Saccharomyces cerevisiae S288C: one gene and its partner. The protein of the gene in region 2 interacts with the protein of the main gene of each other region in a biochemical or structural test. Each region holds a gene or a part of one and is shown on either strand. Other genes may lie near its edges.

Evidence for each region. The genes of interacting proteins can lie anywhere in the genome.
Region 1: the proteins of GGA2 (region 2) and PIK1 form a complex in vitro, tested with the Saccharomyces cerevisiae proteins (2 studies listed by BioGRID).

What each region holds. Positions count from the first base shown.
Region 1 is NC_001146.8:138,878-142,633, reverse strand, and holds the start of PIK1 (1-phosphatidylinositol 4-kinase), read right to left. Parts: upstream 1,757-3,756; coding exon 1-1,756. Other genes in the region: LYP1 (lysine permease), read right to left, coding at 2,249-3,756. UniProt on the Saccharomyces cerevisiae protein: Acts on phosphatidylinositol (PI) in the first committed step in the production of the second messenger inositol 1,4,5,-trisphosphate. PIK1 is part of a nuclear phosphoinositide cycle and could control cytokinesis through the actin cytoskeleton.
Region 2 is NC_001140.6:326,284-330,039, reverse strand, and holds the start of GGA2 (phosphatidylinositol 4-phosphate-binding protein), read right to left. Parts: upstream 1,738-3,756; coding exon 1-1,737. Other genes in the region: septin CDC12, read left to right, coding at 2,004-3,227; thioredoxin-disulfide reductase TRR2, read right to left, coding at 3,414-3,756. UniProt on the Saccharomyces cerevisiae protein: May play a role in the regulation of membrane traffic through the trans-Golgi network.

The DNA of each region.
Region 1 (3,756 bases), on a different chromosome or scaffold from region 2:
AGTTACTATCATATACCGAAGATCGAGTGTTGTTGCTAGTAAGAGTACTTTCATTTCTATTTTCGTTGTTTTCTTTTCTATTCATGTAATTTAAATCAAATATCAAGCCTCCCTGATTACCACTGATCTTCTTTAATAATCTTTCATTGGTTTCACTTGTTGGGTCAAAATCAAATTCGTCTCTCAAGTATTCTATCAGGAGTAAATATGGAACTTTTTCTGCAGAGTTCAAAACTTGTGCCTCATTAGCAGTAATGGTCACTAATTTATGTAACTTTCCTTTTTTATTTGGAGGCAATAAAGTGGGGATATCTACTTCCGCTGGTAGGTCCCTGTTTAATAGAAACAACTCGGCTCGTAAGGCACTCAATCTAGCTTCTGTCGGTACTCGAGCTAGCCTTTGAGATATTGTTTCTAGCGCAATGGCAAATTGTGTCTCGCAACGAAAATAATTTGCTTTTAACATTTTTATTTTTGAAGTGGTCGATAATTGCGACAAGTCAATTTCTTGACTCAAAGAAGAATTCGCTTTTTTACTGTTTTTGAATGCCTGGCGCGAAAGGGGTTGGGAATTGGTCCTGTTTAACTTAGGTGTCCCTTCTAAAGAAGCAGATGAAGCAGAAGAAGTCCTTGGTTGAATATTATGCAGATCTGGCATAGAACTGGTGAAGTGATCAGAGTTTAAAGCGTCCGCGTCCTCCTCCGTTTCACCACCAGTTTCATCTTCATTGTTACCAATCTCATTATTTTCATCATTACGTCCCTTTGGAGAAATATAATCACCTTTATTTCCATCGAGAGCCTTTGCGGTATTTGAAATGCTTCCGTCCCTGTTTATATTTTTGCCATCATATGTCCTATGAACGTATGAATTATCCAAATACTTAGGTTTACGTTTTGGGAGTTTGATTGAAGATGAGATTCTTTCTTCAAAGACCTGGTTACCTATATCATCCACAATGTCGAAATCCAATTTTACCTCACTATGTCTGGATTTCCTGAAGGATGCATCTTCTTTAGTTTTTATTGGATCTATTAAATCTATTGGAGAAGTCGGAGTTGAACTGCGATTTGAGCTAACTCTTTTGGATCTGGAAGTTTTCTTGTTTAGTAGGGTATTTTTCAAGGTCATGTTCTTGGTAAAATCTTTCATTGCACTTCTAGCCAACTTAAAAACGAAAGCTTTTTGTCTTCTACCTTGAGATTCCACTAATGGTTTGGTCACTTCGCTTAATTGGGGGAATGCTATAGCCGACATTATCATAGAGGAAAGAACTAAGGCCGGTGCAACGTTTTCATGTATTTTAACATTTTTATCGCTACCTGAACTTGTGTTAAAGAGATTGGTTTGTAAGTTGTTTAAGACTCTTCTAGCCACTTGGAAGCCATAAGAAGCGGGGTCAGTAGATAAATCCGTTAGTAACGCTTGTAACTGCCAAAACGTCAGTAGTGCAAAATGAGGGTTTTCCGCCCTCAACCTTAATAGTAAATCTTCTAAAGCCATTGATTCTGTCTCCATGGTGACGAGGACCTGTACTAGTTGGGGAATATAGAACTGTAGTTCGCTGTGAGGAAATGTGGCCAATTTCTGACATAAATAGTAATGTATACCAATATTTTCGGAGTGTTTGCACAGTAACTCCACACAATTGTGAAGGGTGAATTCACTAGAGTTGATCAGTTTCAGTAATTGTTCATTTTTTTTTAGTTCAATAGTATCATCAAAGCTTTTCTTTGAACTGGATGCTTTATGCATAGTGAAGAGAACGAATGCTTAATGAAAACGAACGCTCGCAATGAAGAAAAATGATAAGCTAATTGAAAATTTCTAGCAGGGTCCAGGGATCTTCTTAATATAGAAGTTGGGCCTAAAAAATGAAGGGTCTTCAGTATAAGATCTTGTACTTTTAGTTTTTCTCTAACGAATTTTTTGGTAGGGTTCTTTTGTTTCAGTGCAATAACACGAAAATGACAACAGTTGAACATATCGTGAATAATGACCCTGTTATACACGCTATCAAGTACGTAAAGGATAATATGGAAAATTTATTATAGATTTGAGTACTATCGCTGGCCGAAGGTGACAATGGCCTTATGATGTAACATACTATGAATAGTGAATAATAAGTGGTGATATTATACATAAAGTTTGGGGCAATCCCTCAAAATCTCTACAGGCTATTTTGATTAATGAAACGTCTATTTTTTTATTTTTTTCTATTTTGAAGGCATGCAAGAGGTTCTGTGACTATGCAACAGCAGCCCAGAATTTCTCCCATAAATTCTTAGGCTCGTCGTCTTCCCAAATAATTGCTTCGATTTCTCTTCTGTCGGAATCGATGTCAATATCTTCTAGCTTCCAAATAAATCTGCATTTGTAGTATATCTGGCAACCAATGAACACAACGGCTAAAAGAATCAAGGAGATGTAAGATGTGAAAAACTCAGAAACTTTGAACGGACAGAACGCTTGGAACCCTTGGATGAATATGATGACGGTGACAAAAAAGGCTGCGTAGTAGGCACCATAAGGCATCAATTTGGCCTTGAAGGGCAGATCATCACGAGAAATACCACGGTGCTTTAAAGCTTGCATGAACCTAATATGTGCCAAAGAGATGAATAACCAGGCGCATAACCCAGCCAAAGTGGAAATGTTGATCAACCAGTTAAATGCAGTGTTTGCATTGTTATTGACAACCAGGAATGCCAAAAGACCCAATGCAGCAGTGCAAACAACACCGAGATATGGAACACCCTGTCTGGTGACGTATCCAAATTGCTTTGGTGCGTTACCAGTCCTAGCTAAAGAGTAAAGAACACGGGAACCAACGTAAACATTCGAATTAGCGGCAGATACAACAGTAATCAACACCACGGCGTTGAAAATATCTGGAAGAGCATAAGTACCAGCGTTTTGAATGGAAATAACGAAGGGTGATGATGCAATAACAGCAGAACTAGCAGATAAACGGGAATCGTTGTATGGAACCAGTAGACCAATAAAGAACAAAGACATAATATAGAATAGTACGATTCTAAAGACGACTTTATTGATAGCTCTTGGAACGGTCTTTCTTGGGTTAGCCGCTTCACCAGCGGTGATCCCAACCAGTTCAGTACCTTGGTACGTAAATGCAGCATTAATCAAGGAGGAGACCCATCCGAGAAAACGGCCTTCACTTTTATCACTGGAGATGATGCCTGGCCCCCAGGCTCCTGGATTTCTCCAGTACCTGAAACCGATAGGGCCCTGGTGGGATCCACCGCAGACAATAATCAAAGCATATATCAAGTAACCCATAATGGCTAAAACTTTAACAGAGGCCACCCAGAACTCAAATTCACCATAAACTTTGACAGGGAAAAAATTCATCAAAGTAATAATTACCCAGAATATCGCAATCCAGGCCGCTAATGGAACTTTATCTGTCCAGTATTCAATAACTTGGCCAATGACAGAAACCTCCACAGCATAAGTAATAGCCCAATTGAACCAGTACATGTAGCCGTTAGAAACACCGAATGCAGGTGATAAGAACCTCTTCGAAAAGACAGTGATAGATGATGTCACGGGGATAAACGTAGCCATCTCACCAAGTGACTGGGTAACGAAGTAGACAATGGTGCCCATGAAAATGTAAGCAATCAGGGACCCCACAGGGCCAGCATTACTCAAGGGAGTGGAGATACCAACGAAAAGACCAGTACCGATTGTACCACCTAGTGCAATCATACCAATGTGTCTTTGCTTCA
Region 2 (3,756 bases):
AACAGCAGTTTCTTCAGCTTGGGTGGAGTTGACAGAATAGTTGACCTTCCACTTGACTTTCAAAGCCTTTGAAGGGTTAGCTGGCGCATTTTCAATTGTACCTTCTTGAGAGATACCATCTTTAGCGTTGCCAATCATAAAGTTACTCGATTGGGGTTGCAATTTCAAAGACATTGACTTAGGGACTGCTAATAAGAACACTAAGTTGGAGATCGGTGACGAACTTAAGTTTGTAAAGAACGATTTTATCCTTATAACTGAGTTTGACTCCCTAGATATTTCGAACTCAATCTTCAAGTTAGGAGACTGATTGACTAGGGTTCTTGCGGGCGCAGTAGTAGTACCTGTTGTTGGATTAAATCCCATCAAAAGATCGAACCCACTACTGTTTACTGCTTGGGAATTAGTTGGCGATTGAGGAGTTGAAAGTCCCAAAAGATCTAAAGTGTTGTTCGAGTTGTTAGTAGTAGTAACTGGTGGTGCGGGTTGAGAGGACCCCAACACGATATCGCCTCCCAGACCAAAGGATGCTTGGTTAGCGGTTGAAGGGTTCGAAATAGATAAATCGGTCAAATCGCCCAATAAGTCATTGACAGATGTTTCCGCTGCTGCTGGTGTACCCGTGCCGTTGGTATTGTTGTTGCCTTGAGAGGGCGCTTCGTCCAAATCATTGAAATCGATTAAGTTGATTTCATTCGTTAAAGCACCAGAAGATTGTTGTAACGGAGCAGAAACATGACTTGGATGTATCTGCGAAGCAGCGTTGGAGTCACCGTTTTTCAATAAGTTGAATTTTTCCAATAGTTGATTAACTGTATCATTAAACTTCAATAGATCCTGCACTAACGCATCGTCTTCCTGTTCTTCCTCAATGATCTTTTGAAATTTTGGTTGAGCTACCTTTAATGCACTGTGAAGTTCTTGTGTAGTTTCGTTATCCCAGTTTTGTGAGTCAGGTGATTCCAGCATTTCATTCAGCAAATCGGCTTTACGCTTCAATTTGTTCAATTCACTGGAAATAGCCTGTTTAGCTTGAACGGCATTGTCTTCTTTGAACCCTGCCATGATTTTCATTAATTTGTTAGCTTCCCTCAAATCTTCAGGTTTACCACGCCTGATCAATTCTTCGAGTTTTGCAGCTTGAGCAATTTCCTGCTCCTTTTGAATTTCACTAGCGGTCTTCAATTGATTACTAGGCTTCAAAACTGCTAGGTCGGATTCACTGATTTTGGGGAATGCATAACCCTTATATTTCAACAAACGGTGCATGTCTCTAATATAACCCATATCATTCTTGTAGCTTGAGTGTTTACAAATTGTTTGATACCATTCTTCAATAGCAGTTAAAATCAATCTCTGAATCTTAGAATAACGTAATGGTGGGTGACCTGGAAATCTCTTGACCAGTTCATTCAAAAATTCCTTTCTAGAAATTTGCAAGTGGAATGGGTATCCACAATTCTTGACAAGCACGTCTAATAGAGATAACGCGAATATTGCCACGTGCGATTCTCTATTGTTGATCAGTTTAGCAAGTGCAATGGCAGCATCCCTAGGGGCAGCGCCCTGTTTTTCATTAATGTAGTCAGCAATGTCAAGATTCAACGCCAAGTCTGGTTCAGCAAGTGACATTCTGCAAGCTCTTTGAATCTTCCTCAAAAGAGGATTGCCCAAGGCTTGAGGTTTCCTGACGGGCAACTCAGACAAATATATGCTATGTGAGTGCGGATGGGACATGATGCAGTATCACGATTAGCAATTCAGCTATGAGTTATGTTGCTCTTTGTTTTGTTTATGGAAATTGTCCTATGGTAAGTCTCTTTTTTTTGCAATCGTGATTACAGAAAAAAAACAGGGCGCTGGAAAAGTGAAGAATCCGAAATTTTTTTCGAAATCACCATTGTTTGTTTTGAGTAGATCAAAGTCTTGAAAGGTGCAGCAAGATATAGGATCTTGACCTGAAGAGTATTGATAACGAACTACATCACATATTGTATCAAATAATGAGTGCTGCCACTGCGACTGCTGCCCCTGTTCCTCCTCCTGTAGGGATATCCAATCTTCCCAACCAGCGTTATAAAATTGTTAATGAAGAAGGTGGTACATTCACCGTGATGTTATGTGGTGAGAGCGGATTGGGTAAAACTACATTTATTAATACCTTATTTCAGACTGTCTTGAAAAGGGCAGATGGTCAGCAACACCGCCAAGAACCCATCAGAAAGACTGTAGAAATCGACATCACAAGAGCTTTGCTGGAAGAGAAGCATTTCGAATTACGCGTTAATGTCATCGACACCCCAGGTTTTGGAGATAACGTGAATAACAACAAAGCCTGGCAACCATTGGTGGATTTTATTGATGATCAACACGATTCTTATATGCGTCAAGAGCAGCAACCGTACCGTACTAAGAAATTTGACTTGAGAGTTCATGCCGTTCTGTACTTCATCAGGCCCACTGGACATGGTTTAAAGCCAATTGACATTGAGACTATGAAGAGATTGTCAACCAGAGCCAATCTGATTCCAGTTATTGCGAAAGCTGATACATTGACTGCCCAAGAATTACAACAGTTCAAGTCCAGAATCAGGCAAGTAATAGAAGCTCAAGAAATTCGTATTTTCACGCCTCCATTAGACGCTGATTCTAAGGAAGATGCCAAAAGTGGCAGTAATCCAGATTCTGCCGCTGTTGAACATGCAAGACAGTTGATAGAAGCAATGCCATTTGCCATAGTAGGGTCTGAAAAAAAATTTGACAATGGGCAAGGCACTCAGGTAGTTGCAAGGAAGTATCCTTGGGGACTTGTGGAAATCGAAAACGATTCTCATTGTGATTTCCGTAAGCTCAGAGCCCTGTTACTGAGGACTTATCTATTAGATTTGATTTCTACCACCCAAGAAATGCATTACGAAACATACAGAAGATTAAGACTTGAGGGTCACGAGAACACCGGGGAGGGGAATGAAGATTTCACTCTTCCAGCAATTGCACCAGCAAGGAAATTGTCACACAATCCTAGATACAAAGAAGAAGAAAATGCATTGAAGAAGTATTTCACTGACCAAGTCAAAGCTGAGGAGCAAAGATTTAGACAATGGGAGCAAAACATTGTTAACGAAAGAATCAGACTGAACGGTGACTTGGAAGAAATTCAAGGAAAGGTAAAAAAACTAGAAGAGCAGGTCAAAAGCTTGCAAGTAAAAAAATCCCATTTAAAATGATGATTAATTAATGTCTTCCTCTTTGTCTCGTCAATTTCAACGCCTATCTCTTTGTCTCTTCTTTTGTCGCAGCAATACGCACATATATATATGTATCTTATAAAAATATTTCAAATATATCTCAAAAAACATAGAATACGTAACACAATCGAACAGTAAAAACAAAAATAAACCGGTTTTTTCACGTTACTCTTGGGCACTTAGGTACCGTTCTGCATCCAAAGCAGCAATGCATCCGGAACCAGCAGAAGTAACTGCTTGTCTATACCTAGAGTCCTGAACGTCACCTGCAGCAAAAAAACCTGGCACAGAAGTCAGAGACGATCCAGGCACAGTTTTTATATACCCCGTCTCTTCTTCATCTACTTGTCCTTTAACTATATCTGTGGCAGGGCTGTGACCTATTGCGTAAAATAGTCCATTTACTTCTAAATCGTTCTCCACATTACTTTTAGTATTCTTAATTCTCAACATATTCAATAACTTACCATCACCCTTAGCTTCTAATGCAACTGTGTTGAACAAAACA